6 separate regions of the Mus musculus genome follow, and all the other regions are reported to be linked to region 3. Evidence: microRNA targets listed by miRTarBase, many of them from high-throughput screens and not tested one by one. Region 3 holds a microRNA gene; each other region holds the end of a gene's coding sequence.

Evidence for each region. The annotated mature microRNA mmu-miR-706 reads AGAGAAACCCUGUCUCAAAAAA and lies in region 3 at 2,751-2,772, shown strand. An mRNA with a match to its seed (bases 2 to 7 or 8) in the 3' UTR can be bound and repressed. Matches are read on the target gene's strand: a 7mer-m8 pairs with bases 2 to 8, a 7mer-A1 pairs with bases 2 to 7 and ends in A, and an 8mer does both.
Region 1: miRTarBase lists Mrgprb1 as a target of mmu-miR-706. Seed matches in the 3' UTR shown: 7mer-m8 at 2,799-2,805.
Region 2: miRTarBase lists Ehd4 as a target of mmu-miR-706. Seed matches in the 3' UTR shown: 7mer-A1 at 4,530-4,536 and 7mer-A1 at 3,726-3,732.
Region 4: the mRNA of Ramp1 is a reported target of mmu-miR-706. Seed matches in the 3' UTR shown: 7mer-m8 at 3,885-3,891.
Region 5: miRTarBase lists Dcbld2 as a target of mmu-miR-706. Seed matches in the 3' UTR shown: 7mer-A1 at 870-876, 8mer at 1,909-1,916, 7mer-m8 at 2,772-2,778, 7mer-m8 at 3,436-3,442 and 7mer-A1 at 3,722-3,728.
Region 6: the mRNA of Otx1 is a reported target of mmu-miR-706. Seed matches in the 3' UTR shown: 7mer-m8 at 868-874 and 7mer-m8 at 1,571-1,577.

Annotation. Positions count from the first base shown.
Region 1 is chr7:48,442,946-48,448,019 of GRCm38, reverse strand. It overlaps Mrgprb1 (MAS-related GPR, member B1), which reads left to right. Exons shown (of 2, transcript NM_205810.4): 2 at 1-3,907. The coding sequence ends at 910. Among named protein-coding and RNA genes, the nearest start is that of Mrgprb1, 11 kb to the left of the region's middle.
Region 2 is chr2:120,086,506-120,091,579 of GRCm38, forward strand. Ehd4 (EH-domain containing 4) reads right to left here. Exons shown (of 6, transcript NM_133838.4): 6 at 2,982-5,074. The coding sequence ends at 4,643. It overlaps Sptbn5 (spectrin beta, non-erythrocytic 5), which reads right to left and starts at 2,408. Exons shown (of 67, transcript NM_001370938.1): 1 at 1-2,408.
Region 3 is chr6:120,031,988-120,037,061 of GRCm38, reverse strand. Mir706 (microRNA 706) reads left to right here and starts at 2,751; the gene lies at 2,751-2,834. It overlaps Wnk1 (WNK lysine deficient protein kinase 1), which reads left to right. Exons shown (of 28, transcript NM_001199084.1): 1 at 1-188.
Region 4 is chr1:91,222,717-91,227,790 of GRCm38, reverse strand. It overlaps Ramp1 (receptor (calcitonin) activity modifying protein 1), which reads right to left. Exons shown (of 3, transcript NM_016894.3): 3 at 2,595-4,685. The coding sequence ends at 4,430. Among named protein-coding and RNA genes, the nearest start is that of Ube2f, 25 kb to the left of the region's middle.
Region 5 is chr16:58,465,407-58,470,480 of GRCm38, forward strand. Dcbld2 (discoidin, CUB and LCCL domain containing 2) reads left to right here. Exons shown (of 16, transcript NM_028523.3): 16 at 1-4,339. The coding sequence ends at 383. It overlaps St3gal6 (ST3 beta-galactoside alpha-2,3-sialyltransferase 6), which reads right to left. Exons shown (of 11, transcript NM_018784.3): 11 at 4,336-5,074. Among named protein-coding and RNA genes, the nearest start is that of Gm33475, 8.0 kb to the right of the region's middle.
Region 6 is chr11:21,991,559-21,996,632 of GRCm38, reverse strand. It overlaps Otx1 (orthodenticle homeobox 1), which reads left to right. Exons shown (of 5, transcript NM_011023.3): 5 at 1-1,869. The coding sequence ends at 393. Among named protein-coding and RNA genes, the nearest start is that of Gm32517, 4.4 kb to the left of the region's middle.

The DNA of each region.
Region 1 (5,074 bases), not on the chromosome of region 3:
TTCCCTCATCATTGCCTTAGTTGGGCTGGTTGGAAATGCCACAGTGTTATGGTTTCTGGGCTTCCAGATGAGCAGGAATGCCTTCTCTGTCTACATCCTCAACCTTGCTGGTGCTGACTTTGTCTTCATGTGCTTTCAAATTGTACATTGTTTTTATATTATCTTAGACATCTACTTCATCCCCACTAATTTTTTTTCATCTTACACTATGGTGTTAAACATTGCTTACCTTAGTGGTCTGAGCATCCTCACTGTCATTAGCACTGAACGCTTCCTATCTGTCATGTGGCCCATCTGGTACCGCTGCCAACGCCCAAGGCACACATCAGCTGTCATATGTACTGTGCTTTGGGTCTTGTCCCTGGTGTTGAGCCTCCTGGAAGGAAAGGAATGTGGCTTCCTATATTACACTAGTGGCCCTGGTTTGTGTAAGACATTTGATTTAATCACTACTGCATGGTTAATTGTTTTATTTGTGGTTCTCTTGGGATCCAGTCTGGCCTTGGTGCTTACCATCTTCTGTGGCTTACACAAGGTTCCTGTGACCAGGTTGTATGTGACCATTGTGTTTACAGTGCTTGTCTTCCTGATCTTTGGTCTGCCCTATGGGATCTACTGGTTCCTCTTAGAGTGGATTAGGGAATTTCATGATAATAAACCTTGTGGTTTTCGTAACGTGACAATATTTCTGTCCTGTATTAACAGCTGTGCCAACCCCATCATTTACTTCCTTGTTGGCTCCATTAGGCACCATCGGTTTCAACGGAAGACTCTCAAGCTTCTTCTGCAGAGAGCCATGCAAGACTCTCCTGAGGAGGAAGAATGTGGAGAGATGGGTTCCTCAAGAAGACCTAGAGAAATAAAAACTGTCTGGAAGGGACTGAGAGCTGCTTTGATCAGGCATAAATAGCTTTGAAGAGAACTATGTTTTTATCACTTTGTGGCATTTTCATAATGTTGTTTAGTTGATGACCCAAGGTTAACTCAGTTGGGGAAGTAGTCAATGTTGTAGAAGTTGATTGATATTGAACTTGTTATAAATACTGAGTACAGTATTTTTGCAGCTATCTTGCTCAGAGCTTTACCAACTCCATTTGATGGGACTCCTTATAAGCTCTATGGGGTCCAGGAGAGGTGTTGACCACAATTGACAAATCCCTCTTCAGAAGAAAACTCAAGAAAGTGCAATGAAAAGTTATATTTCTTTGCTCACTTAATTTGATAGTGGTTAAATCCTTGTTATACTTTGCAAAAAAAATTCTGTTTTAAAACAAACTTTTTCCAATAATGAAGGGCTAAATAGATAAGTAATAATCACAGAACTTACTAATTTCTGTAGGTTTTAATAAATGTATGATCATCTTTCTTATATAAATTTCTTAGTAAAGATGTAAACATTCTCAAGAGAAGTCTGTTAAATCACTATTCTCCCAGTGGATTCCTCACCTTCAAGTTCACTATCTATTCCATTTTCAGCATTGGAAGAGTGTGCTCAGTCTAATAATGTGATCCATCAATATCCATGCTCATGAAAAGGTTGAGAGTGTCTGTCCTCTTTTCTTCCTTTCACAGTGTCCTACTTAGCTTCCCATGGTTGAGTGTTGACTTTGTCATGATTCTCCTTCTCTCTGACTCTTTCCTCATGATATTTTTCCAATCAGGTCCTCTATAACAGGTTCCCTTGATATCAAACTTGTTTTAAATTTATACCATTTCACGAGCGAGTAGCATCTAAAAACTTAATTATGTAATGTTAAGTAAAGTTTTCTATAAAACAGTATTTCAATTTTAAAGCTGCAGTGTGTGATAAATTCAATTAAGAGGATAGAATATCAACAGATTAATGTAAAAAAAATCAGGATTTTAAGTTAATATAGGTATAAAACCTAATCAAGACACAAAACACTCTCTTATATTTCTTAATTTTTATTTCTCCTCCAGTCAAAATTTTTTGTCAGAGGTAAATATGCTGTCCATATTTTTGTTGCAAACTAAAATTTACAGTGCAAATTAAAGATTGTAGCATGATGTTTGATATACATGTAGCTAAATGGTTGTTATAGTTGAACAAACTAACATATACAGCAGGTTATGTAAATATTCATTTTCTCCTTTTGCTTGGCCCAGTATTTCCTCACCATGTCTCCATTCCTCTTTTGGAATGGATGGTAATGTACGATCTGTGCCTGTGTATGTGGGAAACAAGTACTGTGCTTTTTTTATTTGACAAGGAGTTACAATTAAGAGATTGCCTTGAGTATCATAAGAGACTTTTGACTTTTAAACTGTGTTTGTACTGTGAAAGACTATGAGAACTTTTCAAGTTGGATTTAGTGTGTTTTCTACTGTGATATAGCTACAAATTTACATGGTCCAAGAACTGGAATGTGGTGGTGTACCTGAAAAATTTCCTCTACAGTCTCATTTTGGAATTCTTGGCCCCAGATTGGTGGAACTGTTTGGGATGGATTAAAATGTGTGTCCTTTTTGGAATATATCTCAGTAGGGGTAATCTTTGAGGTTTCAAAAGCCAGTACTATTCCACATCAGCCCTTTATCTGCCTCAAGCTTGAGAGTCAGATATAAGCTTCTGGCAACTGCTCCATTGCCATGCCAACCTGTCTGCCTCTTCTCAGGCTTCTGGCTATGAGGGTCATGTATTCCACCCCATGAGAATTATGACATATCTTATGAAATATTTTGTATGAGTAGACTTTGTTATCACAGCAACAGAAAAATAATTATGAAACTTTCTTTTACTTAATATTTTAATTCCTTTTTTCGTTTTTCGAGACAGAGTTTCTCTGTATAGCCCTGACTGTCCTGGAACTCACTTTTTAGACCAGGCTGGCCTCGAACTCAGAGATCCACCTGCCTCTGCATCCCGAGTGCTGGGATTAAAGGTGTGCACCACCATGCCTGGCTGTTAATGTTTTTAAAACTATGTTTTTCACCTTCTAAGAAAGATTTGATAAGAAGTGCATTATTTCCTTATATATAGTCATATATAGTCATTATATAGATACTAACACTTTAAAGTACATTCTACTTCCAAATGAAATGATGTCATATATTTCTCTTTACATTTGCTTCCATAATGCAGCATGACATATATTAAATTTTCAACATGTAATAAATAACCTGATACCCGGGTTCTTAACAGTAGAGTAATCATGTTCTGTTTGTGACTCCCGCAGTTTCACAATTGATTCCTTCATTGTTCCTTATCTGACTTGTTCCTCTAGCTTGAATATTGTGAAGCAAATATAAAGACATAACAATGTTGCTACTAGATGCCTATTTTTAAATAAAGCCATGCCAGATTAAAATGAAATGATGGACAAAGATATGTTACTAGGATACATGCTCTCCCTTATTTTCTGGTCTTCTACAGTCTTTCTGCTTTCCTACTCCTCAATGTTTTCTGAATATCAGGTGTGGGAGTCATTTATACATGTATTCCTTTTAACTGGGCTCCATACATCTACATTTTTTTCTGATTTTCCTTAGTTTTCGTTGTCTTTGTTACAAAGAGAACTTTTCACAATGAGAGGTGAGGACTACACTTAGATGTGGGTATAAGGACAAATATATAGAATGAACTTAGGAATTATGTTAATGAATACAGCAATGGTTGTAGATTTCCCTCCAAAAATTCATAACTTCACCAGCCCTGAATAAATAGCTAGGCTTCCCATGTCACATATGATTTCCCCTTTTGATTACATGTTAAGTCTAATTGGAGATCTGTTGATTACTACAGAGTTATGTGAGGTATCTGTGCAGCCTTAGGATTATTATGCCTTGATAGCATTTGATGATATTTGTAGGCATCATAACTGTACATGACTACTAATCACTTCCTTCCTTTAGAAGCTTGCATGGTATGTTCTGGTACATGAATGGGAAGGCACTTAAATCAACTCCAGCTCAGATGTCTTTGGACCCTGTGTTTGGAATACATGGTGTCATCAGCAATAGGTACTTAATTTCTACATCCGAGGGGCAAGCAAAGGAGACAGCAATATCCTCTATGCTTCACTAGTCTCTCTTTCTTCTAAATCTTTATATTAATTTTCTAAGTCTATATTTCTAAGTCTTTAAATCAAACTATAAGTCTTCCTATTTTAGCTTCTGTATTATACTGTGCCTAATTAAATAGGTGGAGTATTTATGATAAGACATGTAGTGGTTTTCTGTTTAGGAAAAACACTTAAGATTCAGGGAACATTAAGAACAATGGAGAAGAAAGATGGTAATATCCAGAAGACCAGATGTCTGCACCTAGATAGAGTCTTCTAGACATGCCAGGGAGGCTGCACCCACACAATCTCAACAATGTCAAAAACTCTCAGTAATCTTAAACAAGACCTGCATAGTGATAACATCAGTACACATGTCAGTGTAAATATGGAAATCTCACAAGGATTCATCCCTAGATGACATTGCTACAAGCAATCAGTGGCTACAGCAATAGAGAAAATCAGTTTTCTTCAGGGATGAGCCATCCTTATGTGTTACTAAATCTAAAGTGATCACACTTAAACTTATACGTGACATGTAGTATGAGCATCAGTAAATAGATTAAGTTGCTTCTATACATGTGCACACACACACACACACACACACACACACACACGTGTGTGTGTGTGTGTGTGTGTGTACGTGTACAAGTAACATAATATAAAGAAGAAAATGTCTTGAATTTGAGAGGAAGTGGAGAAGCAGAAGAAGAGTTGTGGGGGAATGATGCAAATATGGTACTCATATTGAAATTCTCAAAAATTAAAAATAAAATAGTATACTTCATGGAGTTAAGAGGTTCTTGGCAGCTGATGAATGCTGGAGAGGGAGACTCATTTTTTTTTTTGTGGGTATGAAAATGGTAGGTAGGTTGTCTGAATCTTGGCAATGATGCCCCACATATGCACATATCATTAATATCAATTGGATTCATTGGATTGGAAAATAGGTAAATATGAGAGTGAAATCTTTCATTGGGAGTCACATACACCTAAGCCTGTCCACATGAGTTCCAGTTTGGAAACTTATACAATGGAAGAACAGAACTGAT
Region 2 (5,074 bases), not on the chromosome of region 3:
CTCTTCCACACCCATCCTAGGATGATTGAAGGAGCCGTCTGACAGCCTCTCTCTAACTAGGAATAGCCACAGGAAGCTGTAGTGTCTTGGGCTTAGATTCCCAGGTCTTGAATAGATCTGGGCCACAAGCTCAGCTTAGCTAAGTATTGAGAAGCCAATGACAGATTTATTGTGGCAGAAGGTACCCAGGGAAGCAGCTCCTGCTCATAGCTCCTCTATGAGCAACAACCCCTTCCCACAGGCTTCCTGTCAGTAGTCTTGACCTCTTCTCTCAAAAGCCTTGGCCACAGGGACACTTCCTTGAGGTGCTGTAGGCTCCCCCACCCTCACCCCAGTCTTCAGACATTCACACACAACCATCTCAGAGACTGGGACCCAAGTTCAGTTAGTTATAGGTAACCACCGGGGCAGGTGCTCGCTCTTCCTGACTGCAGCACAAGCCCTCTGCATGGGCTGCCTGATGCCCCAGACTTTGATCAGCTCTAAGGAATATTCTAGAAGAAATGCTACAGTCTTCCAGGCCCAGTTCCTGTTTTGCAGGGAAAGCCTTGTCTTCAGCCATAGCACCCTGAAGGTGCCCAGTCTCATCTGTAAGGGAAAGCTTCATCGGGAAAGCCTTCTGGGTTTGAGGGGCTCTGGCCTCAGCTCCTCCAGGTTTGTGAGATCTGAGGTCAGACAGAACTGTACCATGCTTTGTTGGTAGGTTTAAGCAGAGGTGACTGTTTGGTTGTTAGATGTGGGGTTGGAGAAATGGGACTGTGGTCAAGGGCACTGGCTGCTCTTCCAGAGGATCTGGATTCTGTTTCTAGCACCACAGGAGGCTTACAGCCATCTGCAACTCCAGTTCCAGTAGATCTGGTGCCCTCTTCTGGTTTCCGAAGGCACCAGATAGTCAGGCAGTGAACACACACCAGACAAGCACTTGTACACATAAAGTACAATCAATCTTTAAATAAGATATTGTTGGACAGGATTAGAGGACTGCTCTCCTTCCCATGCCCCCTCCCCTGGCTCAGCAGCAACTAGAGCCAATGCATATTGTACAAGGGGCAGCTCCTCATTGGCAGTGAGTGACGAAGCCCTTGGTGAAAAGGTCAATTGGTCTTTGAAATCCTTGCCAAGAGACTGAACTTTCTGTTTGAGCTGGACTGAATGATACATACAGATGGGTGAACTGGCCGTAACTGAAAACAATCTAGCAGGAACAGGACTTCAGGTGCTGTTTGCTCCAGCATCCCAAACATTGTTACTGCAGATCTGGGTTTCCTATGCCTCGTTCAATACCTCCTCTCTGCCAGCCCAGAGGGACTATGTGGAACATCTTCCTAAGTGCTGGGGTGGTACCTGTTGAAAATGGGATGAGGAAAACACATGTATTTTTGAACTGGTATCTGTGACTAGGGGGAATGAAATACTCCAATTGGCTTAAACTAATCTGGATCCATCCAGGAAAGAGGGGAGGAGTCTATTCTACCCTAACCTCATGCCTCTGGATGATAATAAAAAAAATATGTTGTGCTAAATGACAGTCCAGGCTGGCATCTTCACAAGGGTACATGGGTGACAGAGGAAAAGCCCAACACCTTCTGCAGGTGGTATACACCTGAGAGGCACAGGACCTTGAGGTGCACCCCCCCTCCCCAAGTACTACTCACAGTCCTTCAGTGTGGGCTTTTGACCTCTCGAGTGGAGTACGAGACCTCTTTCCCAGAGAGGATGAGGGAGGAATTAGGGTCACAAGGGATGGCATGGAGAAGAGGTATACCTCTCTAGACTCTTGCATCTCCTTTGAAAATGGACCCAAGGGACCACTTACCTCTTAAAAAGTGGACACAGTTACAAGAAGCTAGTGGCAGTGGGGATTGACACTTTTAAATGAGATTTTAAAGGATAGAGGCATTGTGTGATTTACATTGCTAAATACTATGTGCCTGATACACTCTTGAACCAGGGATGACTTGAATAGACTCAGGCTGTTTTGGGGTCCTGCCGGTAGGTTACCTGGCCATCTGCCTACATAACCCTCAACAAGCCCAAGTGCAGTTTCTTTCTCCTTGGGCTCAGCAGGGCTTCACTGGGAGGTGACGATGGCAGGACCCAGCGGAAGCACTTACTTCCCCTCACCTGCAGAGGGTCTTGTGATCCAATGTGTGTGGTAGTTACAAATAGGCTCTTTAGAACCAGGGAGAGCACAAGTAGGTGTGTGTTTCCCCAGTGTGTAAACACTCTGAGGTGGCTTCTTTGAAAACCAGGATGATACATTATGGTGGGCTACATATGAAACGTCTGAAGGCGTGGTCAGTAGAGAGGTGATGGGATCATAAGGGTTCTGAATTTATCCACAGATGAAGGTGAAGACAGGAAAGCAGGTCACTGAGGTGCACCTTTAAAGACCCCGTCCTGGGTTCTGCTATTGGCTGCCAAGAGGCAACCACCTCCTCTGCCGTGTGCTCCTGCTGCTATGGTGTTCTGCCTCATCCCCAGCTCACAGCTGACCTCTGCACTGAATAACCTCAGACTATTGGCCAATTTAAACTTTCCCTCCTTGAAACTGAATTCTGTCTAGCATTTCTCTGACACAGAAAACCGACATGAGGATGGGGCAATACAGAGTGAATGTATGTGTGAGGTGGGAGGAGTATTTGAACAGTCTAGGAACTGTGCATTGGTCCTGAGAAGACACAATCTTTTATTTTTATCACCATTTCTGTTTTTTCCTTCTGGTAAAGTTATTATGAAGAACAAGAGAATGTAACAAAAGTAGACCCATGGTTTCTTTTTGTTCAAGAACATCACCAGGTCAGAGCAAGCTTAGCTGCTAGGCATCTCCCAGCAGAAGGTGGAGAGGAGTGGGAAGGCAGATCCCAGAAATCTTAGCCTGCTGTCCCTAGAAAGGCCTCCTCTGAGGCTCTGTACAGAAGTGACTTGGCCATATCTACATTGAACATACGGACGCATTTTAGAGACAGACTCACGAGACATACATTTGTGATTATATTTAGGTAGATATATGACAACTGTGCAGAGAAAGCAGAAGACAACTAGGAGGAAAGTCAAGACCTCCCAGGCATCACCTCTCCATGGACACTGACACAAATACAGTTACAGCCCCGGGATCAAACATTCACCTGTGTGTGTCCAATTAATAAAAACACGCTTTCAGAGTAAAGCAAACACTGTGTTTCTCTTAAAACCATTATTTAGAAAGTAAGATAGGAAGTGTGAATGGTGGCGTAAGTATTCTGTTTTACACAGACTACCATAAAACAAACGATGTAGTTCAGACTGGCTTCGAACTCATGGTAATCCCCCTGCATCTGCCTCCCAAGTGCTGCGAAATGGGTGTGAGCTCTTAGCATTTTCTCTTAAATCCCCGGTTCTGACCCTGAGGTTGCCAGATGCAGACAATTAGGGATTGGAGTATGTTTTTGTGAAGATTCAGGGATGCTGTTCAGATTCATTCATTTCTGCTGCTGTTGGTCATGTGGTCACTGCTGCGCTGTGATTCCTACTTCGTAAGTGATGGTGACAGTGTTCTTCTGCTGGGCCACAGAGCAGGGTACAGTAGGAGGCAGCCCCTGCGGCGCCTGACTAGGTGGGCTTGGGAAAGAACACTGAAGAGGCAGAAGTAGACCAATCCTGGCCCAGATAGGCACTCCTGATGTGAGGTGTCTAGCTTGGAAGAAAAGGTATTACAGAGATTTCTTCAGAGAGGCTACATCTTGTGAGAAAAACATACCTGGACACAATGAAATGCATTTCTTTCTTTAAAAATCAAACAACATCATCAATCACCAGGGCGCTGGTCTCTTCCACTCACAGCTCAGGATGGGGCTGCTCTCGCTTTACCTGGGTCCGAAGGCTCTGGGACTCCACACAAATCAAGACAAGCTTTATTGAATTTAAATTCTGCCACCTACCAAAAAAGCTTTGGGGACATTCAGTGGTTGAAGGGCACACAGGTCTTGCCAGGGGCTGACAGTTTGTGAATTATGAATTCCTAACTGAGGGAGGCTTGGCAGGGTCAGGCAGCAGGTGCTGGGACAAGACAGGTTCTCCTTGCCTGGCTGCCTACTCTGATGGGGACTGCAGATGGGCCCACACAGACATGGCACATCCTCTTTCAAACCTGGGTATTAGTCTTCTCTTTGGTTTTTAATCTATGGAAGGCAGAAACTCTCTGTTCTGTTCCTTTTCCTCTCTAGATAGAGCAGGAAACACAGTAAGAAAAATAAATTAGGTCCTTTGCTGCCTCTCAGTGCCCCCTGAAGGACAAAGAGGCTCATGGTAACTTACTGTCCAGCACAGCTCTGATGGCTCCAGTGAGTCCCTGGCTCAATCCCTGAGTGCCCAGACTTCGACAGCCTGTGTCACACCTACATTCTTCTTTGGATAATTTTTTTTTCTTCTTATTCTTTGATCTCCATATCTATATACTGCTCTTCTCAATATTTTGATAGAAACTTCAGGATTTTAGAGGCATAAAGACCTCATCTAGTGTCCGGGATCTGCCCTCCCTGCCCTACATATGAGAAAACCGAGTCACGGAGAGGACGGAACTTTGGCCACGGACATTCAGCGAGTCAGTGGCAGAGCAGACTTCAGGCCCAGGCACCACCCCTCCCACCCCAGCTGTGGGCCCTCAGTCAGCCTTTGGCAGGGACTTCCTGTGGGAGGGGGGCACCAGGTGTGGGGGCAGGCTGTTGGGCAGCTCGTAGCCGTCCAGCTTGATCTTGATGAGGTGCTTGGCCAGCGCGAACTCCTCCTCGTCTAGCATGCCGTCGCAGTCGCAGTCGGCCAGCTTCCAGATCTTGCCCAGGACACTGTTGGGCAGCTTGGAGGTCACCATCTCCTTCTTGGCGTTGACACCCGATATCTTGCCATTGATGGGTGACAGCGTGTAAAAGAGTTCGTCATACACCGGCTTGTCTTTAGCCACGACCCACTCTTCCTCATCGGCCCCCTCCTTGGCCCCCTCCCCATAGCCCTGGTTGAAGGGCCCCTCTGTGGTGCCATCAAAGGCGCCGCCCTGCACCATCTGCGTGGGCATGTTCATCTCCTCCTGGCTGATGAG
Region 3 (5,074 bases):
AAGAGGCGCAGGAGGATAGGAGCCAGCAACAGGATGATATCGAAGAGCTGGAGACCAAGGCAGTGGGAATGTCCAATGACGGTCGCTTTCTCAAATTTGACATCGAAATCGGCAGAGGCTCCTTTAAGACAGTCTACAAAGGTCTGGACACCGAAACCACTGTGGAAGTCGCCTGGTGTGAATTGCAGGTAATGCCCCACCCCCTTTTTTCTTATTCGGTCGTTTGGATCCCAAATTTGGCTCTGTTAAGCCAGTTTGTCGAGTTCACTCTTTACTTGTAATTCTCTGACTCTGAGAGGGCGGGAAGACTAGTGTCCAAAGAGGTTGAAATTGGGAGATTGTGGAGCTTGTAGTTAGTTAGGTGTTTGGAAAAGATAGGAACTATTGGTGTCAAGAAGGATTGTTATCAGCCAGGGGTAAAAAGAGTCATTTAAGTACAAACTTGTGTGTTTAATGTCAGGCAGGAGACATGGAATTATTGGAAAAGGGTTTCCCTTCGTGTTGGGGATCGAAGAAGTGGGGCCTGGACAAGTGCTTTCCCACTGAGCTAAATATATCCTCAGCCTTTGGGAATTTTTTTTTTTTCTTTTGCTTTAAGTAAATATCAAACCTTTTTTTCCTGTACACTTCATTCTCTTCTAAGCCTCTGCAATAATGAACTGCCTTGTGTGTTTCCATCTCTAAAATCTGATTGTTAGACAAGACCCTGTACTTTTAAGGAACAACTTTCTTGATAGCAGAATATCATAGCATAGTAGCTAATAAAGGCATGCCTGGAAATCCCAACTACTTACTCTATTGGTCGAGGCAGGAGAGCCTCAAGTTCAAGGCCAGTCTGGCCTGGGTAGTGAGACACTGTCTTTTTTGTTTTGTTTTGTTTTGGTTTTTTCGAGACAGGATTTTGTATAGCCCTGGCTGTCCTGGAACTCATTCTGTAGACCAGGCTGGCCTCGAACTCAGAAATTCACCTGCCTCTGCCTCCCAAGTGCTGGGATTAAAGTCTTGCACCACCATCAAAACAACCACCCAGTCCCTGATTCCCAACTCTCTTTCCCTTTAAGTGCTTTCAGAGTAGGAAGGTACAGTATATACCTACCAATATAACCACCTACAGGTGCTTAAGCCTTATGGCTAGCTGTGATCTGACACTGTTCATTAGTCTGTCTTCATCCTATTCAGTCCATAGTGAATAGTAAAAGTCCATGCAAAATTGTATAAGTGCTTTGAAAGTTGTGATAATACCATCATTGTTGTAATATCTTATAAAAGACTTTTTGTGAGTGTCCCAAAGTATAGCCCAGACTGTCCTGAATTTGTTGATCCCTCTGCCTCAGCCTCCAGAGTATTAGAATTATAAGTTAATGCCACTATGCCAGGGATATAAAAGATTTTTAAATGAAACTTCCCAAGAGTCCGAGGGATTACAGTGCTTTCTTCCTTCCTTCCTTTTTTTTTTTAATCTCAGGGAAATTTTCAGGTTATAAATAAAGTGCAGGTATATGCTAGATTAGTTTGGACTACTAATTGCTTGAATTATAGCAATAAATAAATGTTATTATATTTATTATATAAATTTATATTTATATAAATAATATAATATAATATAATATAATATAATATATATTATAGCGATAAATAAATGTTATTATAAAGCATCTATATAAATATTGGTTTGTTAGCACTTGTTCACATCCAGAAATGAGCATGTATTTGTGGTGGAAGCAGAATTTCAGCTACATCATAGATGAAAGTGCCACTACTGATTTCTTGTCAAGAAAATGGACCAAACTGAAATAGGATTGGAAAGTAACTGAAATAATCTCAGAACTTGATTTACCCAAGAATTAATAAACAGCTTGGTTTCCAAATGTCCCAAGGTCATTTGAAATGTGAAAGGAATAATGTTTGGAATTTGCTTCTATGTGGTGGTGCATGCCTTTAATCCCGACACTCGGGAGGCAGAGGCAGGCGGATTTCTGAGTTGGAGGCCAGCCTGGTCTACAAAGTGAGTTCTAGGACAGCCAGGATTATACAGAGAAACCCTGTCTCAGAAAAAAAAAAAAATGGAGTTTGCTTCTAAATATCTAGTGAAGGTGAGCAATTACCCAGCTTCAACAATTATCAGCATATGATTGTTCACTTAAAGATAGTCGATTAAGCTTTCTCTTCCACTTCTCTATATGCTTGAAATTTATTTTCACCATTGGAAATGAGTGTTCGTTTTGTTTTTATTTTAAAAATGTGAAAGAACGTTAACTCAGCATGTGGAAGCAAACATGAAACTGGCAAGTTCTTGAACATAATTCCTTGAGTTCAACACTTAAAATGGAACTTCTAAGCACATTAATGAAGTAAAATAACCAAAAAAAAAATTACCCCTTGTTAATTTTATAACTGATAAGAGTTGGAAATGTGACAAATATTTATTTATTTATTTATTTATTTATTTAATATTTTGGTTTTTTTCAAAACAGGGTTTCTCTGTATAGCCTGGCTGTCCTGGAACTCACTCTGTAGACCAGGCTGGCCTCGAACTCAGAAATCCGCCTGCCTCTGCCTCCCAAGTGCTGGAATTAAAGGCGTGTGCCACCACTGCCTGGCCGTGACAGGTATTTTTTAAAAATTACTTTTAGCCGGGTGTGGTGGCACACGCCTTTAATCCCAGCACTTGGGAAGCAGAGGCAGGTGGATTTCTGAGTTCTAGGCCAGCCTGGTCTACAGAGTGAGTTCCAGGACAGCCAGGGCTATACAGAGAAACCCTGTCTCAAAAAACAAAAAAACAAACAAAATTACTTTTAGTAGGTTTATTTTGTTTTTTGAGATGGCTTTTTTTTTCCCTTACCCTATATTGTGAAGACTCATTGTGTACTCCAAGCTGGCCTTGAATCCATGATTCTTCTGCTGTAGCTTTTGGAGTATTGGTATTACAGGACCATGCCAGACAAACTTACCTTCATTGTTTGTTTGTTTGTTTGTTTGGTAAACTTGTCAAAATATGCCTCTCCTCCTACTGGGCAGTCATACTCAATAATTTAGATGAAACTGATTTATAGGAATTTTTGTACCAAGGATCTATTACTGATCCAGGAATTCAATTCTTCAATTACATTTGTTTTATTTAATTATCTATTTATTTAAGATTTATTTATTTATTATATATAAGTACACTGTTGCTGTCTTCAGACACTCCAGAAGAGGGTGTCAGATTTCATTACAGATGGTTGTGAGCCACCATGTGGCTTTTTATAAATGTGTGCTTTTACTTTTTATTTTTATTTATTTATTTTTAAAGACTTATTTATTTTATGTGTATGAGTGCACTGTTTCTGTCTTCAGACACACCAGAAGAGGGCATCAGATCCCATTACAGATGGTTGTGAGCCACCATGTGGTTGTTGGGAATTGAACTCAGGACTTCTGGAAAGAGCTGTCAGTGTTCTTAACTGCTGAGCCATATCATTCCAGCCCATATCATTTTGTTTTAGATCAAAATATTTGGGTTCAAATTAAAGGTCAAACCTAAGGATAAGTAAAGCTTTGAAAAGAAAAGGAAAAAAAGTACCCCTTTGACATTATCTCCCTAGCAGTGTGATTTTAAGCATGTACTACCATGCTTAGCTTTAAAATTTTTAGTGTATTAAAACTAGAAGGGTTTTGGGAAATAATAGCTCATTAGGTAAGGACCCCTGCCACTAAGCCTGATGTTCAATATAGCACCCACATTGTGGAAGGAGAGAGCCAACTTGTGAAAGTTGTTTTCTGACCCCTGCACTCTTGCTGTGGCACATGTGTACCTACATAAATAGATGCAAAATTGGATAAAATCAGGCTATCTCTCCCACCTACTTGTTTGTTAAATAAGGACCTGAAATCATAGGGCATTAAGTAATTTAGCTTTGGTTAAGAAATTACAAACATTAAAATAGTTATGATATAGCAATTTGGAAGGTATTGAAGGCAATTACAAATTAGACCTGGTAGCAGAGGCCTATAATTTTAGTTATTCAATGAGGCTGAAACAGTAAGATCACAGGTTCAAGGCCTGTCTAGGCTACAGAGTAAATTTTAGGTCAGCCTGAACAACAAAATGAGACCTTAACTCAAAACTAGAGTCAGAAAGAGAAGAGAGCTGGGGATACAGTTCAATGGTAGAGTACTTTAGTGCAGTGTTAGAATATTTGTTTAATAGCTACAAAGTTCTGGGTTCAGTCCAGAAAAGGTAAAGGAAACAACTGTGGTTACTAAAATAAAACTTGCCAGCCAAATTTCTGGCATAGATATGCTCTTCAGGGCCTATCCCATCTTAAGGAGTCTTTGGCAGTTGTAGCTTCTCTGAGAGGGAGAATCATTATCTTTTATCATGTTGTTCCCAACTGGTAGGTTTCTCATGGGCAGTCACAAATCCATGCAACAACAAATTGGATTTAGTAGGCTATTTTTAAAGAGTCAAAGAGTTGAGGAGTATGTGTTGGGGGCATATAAAAGGACTTGGAGGGGAGAAATGGTGGTGGATATATTTGTGTATACATGTTAACACTCTGAAGAATCAAGAAGAATTTAAATTTTTGTTTTTTAGAAAGGCCAGGCTGTCGTGGTACATGCCTTTAGTTCCAGCACTTGGGAGGCAGTCACAGGCTGATCTTTTGAATTTGAAGCCAGCCTGGTCTACATAGTGAGTTTCCAGAAAATCCAAGACTACACAGAGAAACCTAAAAACAACTGATCAAATAAAACAAAAACAAAAACAAAACCCCAAACTACATTTGTAGTCTCAGTAGATAGCTAATTAGTAATACTAATTTCAAATGAAGTTATACTAATTCTGTGTAGAAGTGGCTGTCAGGATTTCTAAAGTTCTCTAATAAATGACAAATTTAATTTTTATCACTTCATATGGGGATCTAGACTTTGGAGGATGAATGCGTGGGGTGTACAAATTAAACTTCCTATTGTTAGGTTATTTTTAGAGTCACAGTATGTGTAGCTATCTACCAAATTGTTTTCAATAATAAATAGGTAATATTTTGATACCACAGTCTTTACAGTCTTTTTTTTTTTTTTTTTTCCAGACAGG
Region 4 (5,074 bases), not on the chromosome of region 3:
TGAAAGCCAGGAAGACGGGTTCTGGAATTTTCCGAGGAGTCTCCCCGGAGACCCTCCCCACCACCCGCCTTCCTAATTGAGCCTGGCGTTTCCCAACAAGAATGTGTGCTGATGGGCTTTGATGAGAAGCAGGTTTTTGTTCCCTCTTGCAATGATGTCTCTGCAGCACTTCTGGCCAGAGTTGTTTACCCCTAGTTTTCATGGAGATTTGTGACACCGGCCCATAACCGATTTAACTGGCTGCAGTGAGCCAGCTGGCCGTTGGGGAGACAGGGTTTTGCCATGGGTAAATTGTCCGCCCCCCTACTCCCCAACCCAAATTCATATGCTGAGACCCTAAGTCCCAGGATCTCAGATCCCCACTTAAAGGGAGGGTCTTTAAAGAGGTAATTATGGCCAGGCAATGTCACTGGGTGGGCCCTAACCCATGACTGGAATCTGCAAGCCCAGAGAGGGAGAGCCAAGCCTTCTGACACCTGGAGGTCAGGCTTCCAGCCTGGAGAACTGAGAGAAAGCAAGTTTCTCCCAAGCTGGGGCCTGTGAGGTGATGCAGCTCCAGGGAGTGTTTCCGGTCTTATGCAGAAGGGAAGAAAGTGTCCACTTGGTAGTTCCTACTGTTACCGCCAGTAAGTGTTCTCTAGCCACTCACCGCTTAGCCTGTGGATAACAGAAAAGGACATATCGAGAGGCAGAAGTGTGTGTGTGTGTGTGTGTGTGTGTGTGTGTGTGTGTGTGTGTGTTTGTGTGTGTGCGTGTATGGTGGTCGTGGGGCATTGTCAGTCACAGTTGCAGTTGTCCATTCACAGGTCCCTGTGCCTAGTTGAGTCCCTGTGGCCAAAGTGAACAGAACGTTTGTGAAGTGCTGGGGCAAGTCAAGGGCTCTCCTTGCAAATACTGAAGTAAGGCCCATAGTCATCCCTTGGTAGGTAGGAAACCAAGGGGCAGGGAGCCACTGGTTTGCTGTCCCACTGGCAGAAGTGAGCTGGCCTCTGATTTGATTGGTTTGCTTCTCCCCTGGTGAGCTGGCCTCTGATTTGATTGGCTTGCCTCCTCACTGCAGCTGGCGTCTGATTCGATCCAGGCTGTTTGCTAGAAGCCTTTGTACACGCCACAGATATGCACATGGAAGTCTCATTGGTTTGGGTTGGCTCACTGGCCAGTGAGCCCAAGAGAGTCACCTGTCTCTTTCTTTCCTGCACAGGGATTACCAGTGGGCACCTCCCAGCCTCTTTGTGTTTTGTTTTGTTTTTATTATGGAATCAGGGGTTTGAACTGAGGTCTCTACGCCTGCATGACACTTGACTAACTGAGCCATCTCCTTGTTCTCCCTTTTAAACATGGAGTTCCACGTGTCTCTGTGCCTTAGATGGGATGGGCATGTGTAGAATGCAGACATGATCATAACAGCCTGTACTGAACACGAACAGTAGTTGCCACCTGCCCTTGACATCCAGCTACCCTGCCCACTTCCTGCCCTAACGCCAGGGGTGACCGGAGAACAAGTTTCCCCAGACTCTTGACAGCGTGTTGGAGAAAGTCCTGCACGGTGGGTGGCTAGGCACGAAGTGTGGCTGGTGTGGGTTCAAGAAGAGTGATCACTTTTCGAGCTGCCTGTCTCCGGAACTTTCTGTCTCTAACGTGTGAATAGACAGAGTAAAGTCGGCAACCCCTTAGCCCGTCTAGGCTTAGTCCCATAAGGAATTTGCTGTTTTGAATAGTTTTAAAAATGATGGGCTGCAGGTCTTCTTATGTTCACCACACAGGTGAACCCCCCAAGAAAAGCTTCTCCGAGCTAGAGAGATGGCTCAGTTAAACACTCTCACTGCTCCTGCAGAGAACCTGGGTTAAGTTCCCAGCACCCACATGGCAGCTCCCAGCCATCTGTAACATCTGATACCTACTCTGACCTCCAATGGCCTATGGTGCACATACATATGTGTAGGCCAAATGCTCAAACACATAAACACATAAGTTCTGAATTTTTTTTAAATGTGTTTCACATGCAGGAGACAGAGGCAGGCAGATCTCTCTGTGAGCTCAAGGCCAGCCTAGTCCACAGAGCTAGTTCTAGGACAGTCAGGACTAAGAAACCCTATCTTGAGAAAAAAAGTGTGTGTGTGTGTGTGTGTGTGTGTGTGTGTGTGTGTGTGTGATAGTTCCAGGATAGCCAGGGCTACACAAAGCAGCCCTGCCTTGAGGTGGGAAAGAGGGAGAGGGTCACTGCTAGTTTTTCCTTGGGAACATGCTTCCTGCCTTGCCCTAAGGATGAGGCTCCTCTGACTGGCCACTTGGTCTTTCAGGAGATCAAACACCATCCTTGGGATAAGGCAGAGGGCTTGCATATGCCAGGTCATCTCCCCCATGGCTACCAGAGCTGAATTAGTTGTTCAAGTACACACAGCTAGAACAGCCAGTTGGGGTCTGACCATATCACCCTTCACCGGGAAGTGATGCCCATCCGCTGGGACGGTGGCAGCCAGATGCAGAACTGAGAGTGTTGTTCTGTCTTCTGAGAGCCCTATTACAGGACGTCCCCCCAATATAATGTGGCCTGGGGAAAGGAACTTTGTGTGTAAACAAACACAGCATAAAGGTCACCTTGATTTCCTGTTTTAAAATCTGCATTTTCAATGAACTGCACACACTGGGAACCCCCCCCCCCCACCCCCAAGGACGCCATTAAGGAAACCATTGCCTTCCATCATCTGGAGTTAATCTGATGGAGCAGTCCTCCAGTTGGACCATCGAGGGTGTCTCCTCTCTTCCGCTCCTGGTCCCCACGGGCCCTTGTGCACATGGTAATTATGTACTTGGGATGAGTTCCTACAAGAGAAATGACTGCAAACAGACACTCAAGACTTCTGCTCCACACTTCTGACTTGTTTTCAGGAGGATACCGCTAATGCTCATTTTTGAGGAATGGATGGAGATCCACTCCCAGCGGACCAGGCTTCCCTGGAAGGCTGGTGTACAAGCAGTCATCCTGTGAGAGGGGTCATGTGTGAGGGGTCTTGGGCTCACTGCTCCCTTGCCTGTCCCCCTGCTTAGCTGAGCACAGGATGGCCACGCTCTGCAGATGACCTCAAACCCCAGCCTTCTTGGTTTACTGGAAACCCTGAGAACTTGTTAGTATGCGCAGTTCCGGGAACGAGGCACTGGGTCAGCTTCATCTCCCAAGTCAGCTCCCTGGTTCTCTTGCAGCTTTTGGATTCTGTGACTTATGCATGTCTTGTTTTCCCATCCTTTGGATTTCCATGTCAAAGTCCGGGAAGGCAGGCTGGTCTCTGGTCTCCAGTTCAGGTCACAAATGAGCCCAGTCTTATTTTCTTTTGCATTTTTCCTCTGTCTCTTCTTCATTCTTCCCCACCCTTCCCCCTCATTTTCTTTTTTTTATAAACAGGCTTATAAATCCCAGGTTGACGTCAAACTCACAGCAATCCTTCTACCTCAACACCCCAAAGTGCTTTGATTCCAGGCACACGCTGCCATAGCTCAACCCTATTTTTCAGATTAATGCTGTCACTACTGTCCATGGCTTCCCAGGGACAGAAGGGACAGTGCTGAGTGGAGGAGGAGGTCACATCCCTGGCACCTCTTGGCCTTCACTTGTCCTATGCACTAGGGTTTCTCAGAGAAGACAGGGTGACCTTTAGGGAAGGGACACAGAGACAGCACCCTCTTCACGTGCTACTCAGCCGAAGCTTCTGGCTCACGGTAGGCATTCTCTCTCGCTAGTTGTTAATTCATGACTATTTCCAAGTACTAAGAGCAGGGGCTGTGCCAGTCAGTGGTGGTGCACACCTGAGAGACAGAGGCAGGAGGATCTCTGAGTCCAAGTCCAGTTTGGTTTACAGAGCAGGTTCCAGGACAGCCAGAGCTACATGGAGAAACCCTGTCTCAAAAAACCCAAGAAAGGCAAAAAGAAAGCAGGGACCATGCAGTAGAGGCCAAGGGCATCAGAATCATTTGGGAACCCCTCAACAAACTCAGGGGATCTTTGACTGGGTGTCATCTGGTTAGAGACCCTGCGATAAACTCCTCAGCAAAAGACAGATCTCCACGAGTGGCTTGATTTCCTGTATAGGTTATTTGTACCCAGACAGAACACTTCCCAGGTTTAAGAATACTCTTTTAATCACAAACTGTGCATCTACAAACACATCTGTGCAGTCTTCCTTGGAGTTCAGAATGCCCACAGTGGTGATGAAGTGTACCAGAGACCTGGTGCTTAGAACAATCTCAGAGGTAAGCAGAGGCAGGCCCCTGCTCCCCTGCTAGAAGCCTCTGGCTAGGGCATATTCAGCTTAATGCAGAGCCACTCTCAAGTCCTGTGCTAACTAGGCTAGAGCAGGATGCAAGGTGGGACCTGCTCCTGATGCTGTTGCTGGGCTAGGCCCATGGTTCCCCAATCCCTCATCACCTGGGATACCTACACGATGCCCTCTGTGCGCTTGCTCCTCCAGACCACCAGTGCAGTCATGAGCAGCGTGACCGTAATGGGGAGCGCAATGAAAGGGCAGAGGATGCTGTTGGGAGGGTCCCGCAGGGCCCTGCCCGAGATGGGGCACTTGCTGAAGTATCGATGGTGGACAGCGATGAAGAATCTGTCCACTTCCGGATTGGGCCAGAAACAGCCAATCGTGTGCGCCACGTGCTTGGTGCAGTAAGTGAGCTCCCCATAGCTCCTGTGGATACAAAGAGAGGTTGTCAGGAGACCCAGCTGGGACTCAGCTTTGTCTGGACAGAGGCAAAGCAGTCCTTTCCCTCCCCCACTCTAAAAGCTCAGGCCTCAAGGCAGAGTTCTGGCTCTGGCAGGTGAGGACCCTAGATAGCTCACACCAGTCCCAGAAATCCAGCTGTCAGAAGGTGAGGTGCCCAGTGCCAGCTAGAGCCTTAGGCCATAAGACTGAGGACCAAGCTGACAAGCCCTGTGGCCATTCATGCTCCTGTTAACAGCTTACCTAAAGGTCCCCATGAGCTGGTCACCTACAGGACTCAATGACAGTGGGATGTGGGGGAAGCAGATGTTATGAGCCAGGATCTAAGGGAGACCTGCTTGCTTAGGCAAAGTCCT
Region 5 (5,074 bases), not on the chromosome of region 3:
GCTATGCAGACCTCGATCCTTACAACTCTCCAATGCAGGAAGTGTACCACGCCTATGCTGAACCACTGCCCGTAACGGGGCCTGAGTACGCAACCCCGATCGTCATGGACATGTCAGGGCACCCCACAGCCTCAGTTGGTCTGCCCTCCACATCCACCTTCAAAACTGCAGGGACCCAGCCTCACGCTTTAGTGGGAACTTACAACACTCTTCTCTCCAGGACTGACAGCTGTTCCTCAGGCCAGGCTCAGTATGACACCCCAAAAGGTGGGAAGTCAGCTGCTACCCCAGAGGAACTGGTATACCAGGTGCCCCAGAGCACCCAGGAGCTATCAGGAGCAGGAAGGGATGAGAAGTTTGATGCTTTTAAAGAAATCCTTTGACGGTGGTGCTGCTTTCTGACAAGGCATCCATTTAAAGCACATGGCTTTTTTCATTCTTAGTGGTAGTGATGTAGAATGTATTACGTATCTGTCACTGAAGTGGTTAGGGGAATGTGGTGACCGAGGTACAAGAAACTACTTGCCTTGCCATCTTGCTTTAAAGGGGTTACTGTGTGACACAGTTACTGCTCGCCTGCTACATGTCAAGCGTCCTGTTTGTTACTACTGTAAAACACTATTTTTAATACAGAAACAGAGCTCCCTATAATGCACTTCAGAGAAACTGAAAATCACTGAGTATTTATTACCAATGCTGCAGGTACATTAATGAACTTGAGGTGGTTCTGTAAGCCTTGCTGGCAATAATGCATGGTACTGTTCTTGAAATACCGAATGGCTTGAAATTCTCCCTTTGTGAAAGTGGGTACTATCACGCGTCCCTTCTCCTTTAATCCTGTAGTGCCGTCTGCATTCTTTTTTTTTTTTTTTCTCACATCCATCAGTGATAAGCATTGCTCTAGCTGTGGCCACATACACTTCTCTGTATTTCCCTAGGAAGGTGCAGAGTTAGAACAGCCTGCCTTGCGGTGAGCTGGAGGACTGACTCCTTGTTTGATGACACTTTTAACAGTATTGACACCGCCTCATACAGGGCTTGGTCTCAGCTCTGCTCATCCCTGCCACCCTTGGTGGCCTTGCTCCAACCTGTGTTCATAAACCCTGGCAGCTCCTATCCAGCAGCAGTCACGGGAAGCCAGCCCTTCCCATCTTTAAGTATACTTCTCCACAGGGAACTGGGAGAGAAGCAACTTACGATGTAGAAAAGCTATAAAGGGAGTCCTCTGCGTCACTAAAGTAATCTGTAAATTACTTTAGGGACAAAGTTAAGGGGGAACTAAAATTTAACCTTCTTTGCTTTCTTTACACACAAGCCCAAAAATTTGCAAAATTTTTTTTAAATTTCAATTAAATTTTTAAATTTAATTTTAAACCATTGTAAGAAAAAGAAAGCCAACATGAGCCAGGTCTGATGGCTCAAGCCAGCAATCCCAACTGACCCAAGTGGACCCCCAAGGTCAGTGCTTTATAGTCTACAGAGTGAGTTCAGGATTAACCTAGGCCGCTCATGGGATAAGGGGTGGAGCTCAGGCTCCGGGGTTTAGTGCTCCAGTATAACAAGTTCAAGGTCATAGGTTCAATCCTCTCTACTACAAAAAGAAAAACGGGCAACAGGCGTTCTCCAGGTCTGTGTGATTTCTGCCTTCTGTCTGGGGAGACACTTAAGTGGTCCTTTGTGTCAGACCTGGTTGACAGAGATGCTGTGCGATCGGAATTGTGTGGAATCCTTCCCAGCAACTTACTTGTCAGTGCTTGACAACCGGGCTGCACTCACGTCAGGTCGGGTAAATTAAATGTTACAGCGGATTAGCACTGAAGCAGCACATCGGATGAAAACACAAACTTGATCCCTCGCCACAAACCTGTGTGTAGGTTTAGAGTACACTCGGCCTTCAGGTCCCCAGCCGTTTCTCAGCTTGTACCATCCTGGTTGTAGACCTGCCACACTTGTCTAGATTTGGATAGCCTTGAACAGTGTTAACTGTGCTTCCTTCCACAAGTACATCAGCGTTTTAAAACGTCGCTCTGCACTGGTGGCAGGCTCTCTGCCACCTCCTCAGACAGTTTGCATCGCTTTCATTATAAACCGCCTTTCGTCTTGCAGAGTCTCGGACACAGTCTCTCTCCTTGTTGAAAAAAATCAGTGCACATTTTGTTTCAAAGTTCTTATGAAGCAAAAAAAAGCACAGATGCTGTACTAAAACATGTAAGAATGTGTAGAGCACAAGATGCAGTTGTCCTCTTTCAGGTGGGAACAAAGCAAACCTTTAGCTGTTTCATTTTCGTTCACGCTTAGTGGGCAGAGGGTAGCCTTTTCTTTGAGTCACCTAACCATTGGAAGCTTTAAGAGACCCTTTGAAGATGAAGTTGTTTTCCCAAAGAAGCCTACTATTCTAACTGTGTGTCCCAGAACTGTTTCAGAACAGAGTGAGGCCATGGTTGTTGATGCGTTACACATTGTGAGACTTGACTCCTATGGCCACTGCTCTCCTTGCACTCTACCAATGGTTTTCATAACATACCTAGTTATTGTTATATGGTTTTCTCTTGCAGATAAAGAGCTGAGCCTGATTCAAATGATTTTTTTTTTCTGGTTTTGTACTTTTCCTTTTAATTTTTTGTATTATAGATTACATGTCTGGTAAATCTTTGGAAGACAATCAAGTAAAATGTGAAAGTAACCATTGCTGACCAAACCCCTTGGTTATTTTGTTTTGCTTTAATTCTTTGCTTGAGATATTCAATACTTAAGTCACTGTGGCTTAGTGGGTTTCTCTTTTCCTGATAGTACAATTGATTAGAGACAGCAGTGTGGCAAGGGCAGCCTTAGGAGATTTCAGAAAAGTTACACTAACTTGGCTGTCACTTGATCCTTGGAACCAGCACAGATATTATGAATTCTGCTTTGCATTTATTTTAAATGCTGTTTATAGATCGTAGTAGTTCCTGTTGAGAGTAACAGGACTAGTCCAGTTATTTAATTCATGTTTCACTATTTGCACTTTCCACTGAACAGTGGGTTGATTTGCTGTTCACACACAGAATTTATCCAGTAGTTACAGCTATCATGTGTTCTGTGTATGCTCCTCCTCCACCTGCCCCCAGGGATGAAGCAGTAAAAGTGCTTGTAGCCATTTCCATGCCTTGGCTCCACGTTGTCACCCAGAGAGCAGTAAAGGGAGTAGGAAAGCAAGATAGAAAAAAGACAGACAAGACCACTAGAACGAACCCAGAAATTATGGGGGGGTGGGAGGTTCCAAATCCTCTACGGAGCAGAACTAACGGGGCTCCGCTGTATGGAAAGGAGTTGTTAATTCTACCTTTTGGGTTGAACTTGAAAGTCCTTGAACTGCAAAAACTCTAGGAAGTTGGATGGTTGTAGGGTATCTAGGTTAACTGTGGCACCAATCTCAATTAGACCATTTTGTGTGTAGTTTCTCTCGTTTCCTGTGTTTGGCACTGGGAATGGTGAAAATAAAACTTACTCAAGTACAGAAGAAGTGGAAGTGGCTGAGTGTCAGTGATATTCCCCCAGAATGTATTTTTCTTACCTCGGCATGTACTGTAGTCACTTGATATTTGTATATGTTGCTAGAATTTAGGCTGTTGAAAATAGTGAGATTCTAATGTGTTTTTAATAAATTATATGTGTGTGTCTTGCTCAGATTTTTTTGGATTAAATAAAACAACCTTGACATCATAGTCCAGAAAATGCCAAATTTCTCAAAGTTGACAACAGTCACATTTTATGACCAGTATTATAGTGGGTATAGATAGCATCATTGGTCCCCCTGCCACTGTCCCTGCCGGCAACTCCACAACCCTCAAGCCTACCTTATGGAAGTGAATCTGGGCAGCCCAGCTCTGTGTGGCTATAGAGTAAAGGGGCACACCCCATCAGCATGGAGAGCCAGCCAGTGCCAGCGTCCCCATCAGTTAGGTGCTGGACACTGCCAGCATGAGCTACCCTCACTGTCAGACCCCTCCTATTTACAGTTTGTCAGTATTTCATTTATTCTTTTTCTGACATTTCACTCTTTTTATTTTACACACAAACTCTTTAGGGAGGAGGCAAATTGATTGCCATTATCACCAGCGTTTCCAATAATAACACTTCCTGTTTGCTCTCCTCCCATTCTACCCCCTTTGGTTGTGTCTACTAACAGTTGAAAGGTGGAACTTGCCTCGCAGGCCACCATTTGTTTGTGTTTCTTCAGATTTTTCTCTCATGTGCCTGAAATGACCACTGAATGTTTCACTGAAGGTGAAATTTAGTCATGTGAAATAGGACATTTTTTTCCCTATACAAATAATAAAAAAAAAAGCTCAACTCTTAAGGTTTTACTTGCATTGTTTTACTCTTAAGATTTTCTTCATAGAAACATTTAAGGTTTTCTTCTTCCCACAGGTAGGCTCACCTCTGAGCTCAAGTCTAGTCTGCACTACATTGTAGTTCTAGGCCATCCAGCACTACATAGACCCTGTCTAAAACGAACAACAAAAACTTTGTAGTTTTGAAAAATGATGCTAGAGGGTGCAGCAATTGGCACATAGCTGTAATCCCAGTACTTGGGAAGCTGAGGCAAGAAAACCAAGGTCGAGCCTAGCCCAGGCTACATAGTAAGAAGCTGCCCCTCCCCCCACCCCTTCCAAATCAAAGTCTCAGGATGCTCGTTAGAAGAGCGCGCTTTCCAAGCATGCAGAAGGCTATTTTTTCCTCCCTCACAGCAAATTATTACATTATTACTGGTTTAATTAATTGTAAAGAGAACTTAATGAAACCACAATGGACACCACGGACTTACAGGTGATTCTCGTGTTCTGCACCTGGCTCCCAGTCACATGCCCATGAGTAAGCAATCTAAATCAGCAGTTCAAAGTGATACGTGACTATCAGCACGGGCGAAGTCCACTAAATCTCCTAGAACTCTTTAAGATGAAGGAACTATGAGAAGGTATTTTAAAACACCTCAGAGCACTAAAAAGATCACATTTTAAAACAACATAATCAAAACTTCACATTTTTCCCTGATATCTTAACTAAAAATCTTCTTGTTTTTTCATAAATATAT
Region 6 (5,074 bases), not on the chromosome of region 3:
GGCCAGGGCGGAAGCTATGGTCAGGGATACCCCGCGCCCTCCTCTTCTTACTTTGGCGGTGTAGACTGCAGCTCCTACCTAGCGCCCATGCACTCTCATCACCACCCGCACCAGCTTAGCCCCATGGCACCCTCCTCCATGGCTGGCCATCATCACCATCACCCTCATGCGCACCACCCACTGAGCCAATCTTCAGGCCACCACCACCACCATCACCACCACCACCACCACCAAGGTTATGGAGGCTCTGGGCTCGCCTTCAATTCTGCCGATTGCTTGGATTACAAGGAGCCCGCCGCCGCCGCTGCTTCCTCTGCCTGGAAACTCAATTTCAACTCTCCCGACTGTCTGGACTATAAGGACCAAGCCTCGTGGCGGTTCCAGGTCTTGTGAGCCCAGGAGGGAAAGGAAGTGGAGAAGAAACGCAACTACCTATACCCTCCATGGTCCCCATCCTGTTGCTGCTGCTGCACCACCCGCCTTTGCCTTGGCTTTTCCAAAACTTAATTTTCAGTCCCCCAAAAGATATTCATTGCCTGCACTGCCGCTCCCATCTGTGTGCCACTTGGTTGGGGGTGGAGGATGCAGCCCTTCTCCCCCTTGGAGGTGGGGCCCGGTGCTCCCACTTGGCCCTCCGTTTCTTCCCGGAATAGCAGTACGCTCTCGCTCTCAGCTCGTGCGTCACCCCTTCAAGTCTTTCTGGACAGCTTTTATGCACCTGGAGCCTTCTGGGGCTCTTCGCTCTGACCCTCTGTTTTGAGCTCAACCGTTTTATTTATTCTTTCTGGACACTGAAGTCACTAACTGGCGTATATCAACCGTTTGGAGTGTGTCCATACATACACACTCCTAATCAAACCCTCCACTGTTTCTCCTAGCAGACTGTCGCCCCTTCAGCTGCCCTTGATCTAGCTCCCCACCCGCAGGCCCGAGCTTCCAGCATTTCTGTCTCACCAGTGGTGAGCGTTGGGCCAGGCTCGCGGCAGGAGTGTGCCCCAGCCTCCTTTCCTACCCTGCGCTGGACTGATTCAAGCTTCCGCCTCAGCGGGAATGCTGTACATAGTCAGGTCCGTTCCAGGGACCACTTAAAGTTTTTAGTTGCTGTTGGTTGAACTGAGCATCTCTCTTGTTTTAGCGTCCAAGAAACAGAACTTTAAAATATATACATCACATATATATATATATATATACACACGCACACACACACATATATATATAACAGAAGCAAAAAAATTATTTCCCCTTTGTTCCCGTTCCTCTCTTCCTCAAACGATGGTGGTTCTTATTTTTCAGTTATTACAAAGCTGTCCTGCCCTCTTCACACCTCCCTTTGTGTATTTATTAAAGAAACCCGCTTGGTTCCAGGAAGCTGGGCGCTAGAGGATCGGAAGTGAAGGAAACAGCTAAGTCAGGATACAGGGGTCGGGGCTAGGCTGGTCAGGGCGCACGACTGACCCTTCGCCAGTCTAAGCACAGTATCAAAGCTTCCGCTTAGAAACAAACAGACAAACAAACAAGGTGAAATTACAGCATTGTGGAAAGAAAACCAAGCCCGAGTTCCAGGTCCAATGTTTCTCTCTCTCTCTCTCTCTCTCTCTCTCTCTCTCTCTCTCTCTCTCTCAAACACCCTGTCTGTTCTGTGAGTTTTTAGTGAACCTTCCTTCTCCGAAATCTGCGGAGAGTACCTGTGTACCTATCGGTTTTGGTTTTGGCCGCTTGGTTCAGTAGGTGGGAAAGTAATTTGTAAATTTGATTTGTCCGATGTGAAGATCACAAATTACTTGTTGAGATGTAAGGCAGTCCGTCTCCTCTTCCTCTTTATCTACATTATTTCCCGAAAATAAAAGCAAATTAATGAGTGGCTTGTCAGCGTTGCTCTTCTAATTCCAGCTTCGGGTCTCGGTCTCAGGGGATTAAAAGGGAGGAAATCTGTGTTAATAACCCGCGTGTTAATGATCTGCGCGAAGCTGGAGGCTGAAGAATAAGGCGGGAAGTCATGGCAAGGGGAGTTCCCCAAAACGTTCTTTTAGGGAGTGCCCCCTCATCGGCCCGGCCTCTCCCTCTTCAATGTTTTGACCCCGCGCCTTCTTGCCTTCTAGGACAGAGACAGGTGTCAGGACTCAATTCCAGAAACAGCTCCTTTCTCTTCGGAGGCAGGAGCCTGGCACTGATTTCTTCACCCTAATTGCCAGCACCAGAATGAAGAGGGGGAGAAGGGGGAGGGGAAGAGGGTCGGGAGGCGGGAAAGGATGCGGGTGTAATGCTCTCTGAGCTGAGCCAAGAAGGAAAACAAAACGATCAAAAAAAAAAAAAAAATCTGTGTCCTACAGTGGAGAAGCGTCTCCCGGTGGCTTCACGGTGACTGTGGGATCCTAAGTCCCAACCTCGTGCTAAGGAGTCTTTCTAAACCATTAGTTCGCACAAGAAATGGTCCAGTTATTTATCTATCTTTCGTAAAGTTTCGTTAAAGCAGACAAAGGCGAATTGACCAGTGCGAGTTTCACTTCCTCAGAGGAGAAGATGCCCGGCCTGCAGCCATGAATGGAGAGGGCAGCTCGCCTTCCGTCTGGGGGGACAGAAGGGCTTGTAGGTACTACTCTTCCTAGCTCGGCCACTGGGACGGGACTTGGGAGACTAAAGTGGAGGGAAAGTGTATTAATAACGTCTGCTGCCCGAGAAAATTCGGGGTCCAGAACTGTCCAGATTGTTCTGACGGCTCCTGTGGAGGTGAGCCCAGAAGCCGCGCTTTGCCCACGGGCCGGAGGAAATCAGGAGACAACGAAAACTTGCCCGCGGAGGCAGCGGTAGCCCCTGCTTCTAGTCCGTGAGATTGGCGCGGGGCTGGAGGTCGGCAGGGCACTGGAGCCTTGGCCACGGGGAAGCCGTCCCCGCCGTGTCCGGCCTAGGGTTCGGCCTCCCAGCTCCGGCCCAAGCTTCCTAACTGAGTCCCCGGGGCGGAGGGAGAGCCGCCTGGGCGCGCGGGATCCCTGCAGGGCCAGCCGCCCCCGCGAAGGCTGCTCTGGGCCTGCTCCCTGCCGCGTGCGCCGTGGCCCCTGGCCCGCGGGCCCCGGGCGTTCGCGTGAAGCGGGGCTGGAGGTCCGGGCGGAGGCCTCAGGAGGCCGCCGGGTCCTCCCCACAGGTCCCGCCCTAGGCGTCCCGGGGCTGAGCAGCAGCCGCTTCCACGGGGTCTGGAGGCCCCGAGGCCCTGACCCGCCAGGCTGGGCCTAGCCGCGGCTCGGACGAACCCTGTGGGCGGGCCTCGGGTTCGTCGCGGTTGTCAGTTTGCCCGACTGGCCCCGGTGGTTCGCGAACTTTCCTGGTAGAGCCGGCCGGTGTGGGTGGGAGCGTCGGCGACGCCTCGGCTGTCCCCGCTCAGACGCGCCGCCGAGCACGCCTGCAACAGGAGGCTTCGAGGAGGAGCGGGCACGTGCTTCCCCCTGGGCCTGGGCCTGGGTCGGGGCGCAGGGCCGAGGGCGCGCCGGGGCGCAGGCTCCGGCCGCGGGAACGCGCGCGGGCCGTCGGGGCAGCGGGCCGCGGTCGCCCGTGTGGAGTTTTGGGGGCCTGGGAGCGTCCTTGGGTCACACCTCTCTCAAAGCCGAAAGCGCGTCAGGGGCTGGAGCCCGCAGACGCCAGGTAGAACTACGCGGTCTCTGGAGCCCGAACTCTGGAGCACGGAGCAGCACGGACAGGGCCTGGGAGCTCAACGAAATCTCCACGCGTCCCGAGTGCAGCCCGTGTCTGTCCGCTCGCCCCGGAGGGCCGAAAGGCCTGCTCTTGGCGGACATGGGTAAGGGCTCTGGGCACGACAGTTGGGCTACCTCAGTGAGTTCTTGGCCCACTGAAACTCTGAGGAGAGTCGCGGGAATAAGATGGCTTGTTGGAGGGCTTGTCTGGCTTTGATATTGGCTACAGAGGGTTGGGAAGAAGGTGATATTTCAATTGTGAATGTGTGTGCAAATCCTTCTTCCTTCCTTCCTTCCTTCCTTCCTTCCTTCCTTCCTTCCTTCCTTCCTTCCTCTCTCTCTCTCTCTCTTTCTCTCTCTCTCTCTCTTTCTTCTCTTTCTTCCTCTCTCTCTTTCTCTCTCTCTCTTTCTTTCTTTCTTTCTTTCTTTCTTTCTTTCTTTCTTTCTTTCTTTCTTAGAAAAGCCTTAAAGGATCGAGGGGCGGGGGGCGGGGGGTGGTGGTGATGGTGGTGGCGGGAATTTGGGAATAAAAAAGATGAAAAACCTTAATTAGTGTCAGCAGATTCACACCTGCTGTAGTCCAGAGACCAAAACTGAACCAAACCAAAACATCAAGTTTTAGTTTAAAAAGAAAATTACCACCACCAACACACACACACCTTGTAATTTGTGAAAATAGCACTCTCCATGGCTATTGTGATTTTTTTTATTTAAAAAATAAGAGATAAATTCATTACTAACTGGAAGACTCAATTATAATGTTAATGATGTCAAAGATGTCTGATGTCAAGGTTGTGTTTAAAGGTGAAGAAATGAATATATCTGATATACAACTGTAGCCAATACATACATTATTGGTAAAGAGAATTTGCATGATTATTATTCATGACCAGAAAATGACTTGGCTTTTGATGTAGAATCAATTTAAGAATAGCAATAAGATATTTTTATAAAGTTCCCCAATTAGTGGGGTTTGGTGACATAAGCCTATAATCCCAGCTCTCGAGGGCAGGACACAGGAGGATCAGGAGTTCAGAGCCAACCTCACCTACATAGTAAGTTAAAAAAACCTGCCTGGGCTACAGGAGACCCTATCTCAAAAAGCAAAACCAAACAACTCCCTATCTGCTCCCCCATGGACCCCAAAAGAAAGAAAAAACTTAAAGGCAGAAAAGTTACATGTGACTTTGTTTTCCACACTATGCCTCCCTCTTTCTTAAAGTTCAGAATCTCATGGAAATGGAAAAGTCTCAAGATCAACAATAATGAAAATCAATAACTTAAATAATATTGTATAATAATGAATGTCTTATTTGACCACAGGAAGTTACCTCAGTTATCTTAAATAAATAAGATGTTTAGATAAGTGTTGGGGATATCTAAATTATACT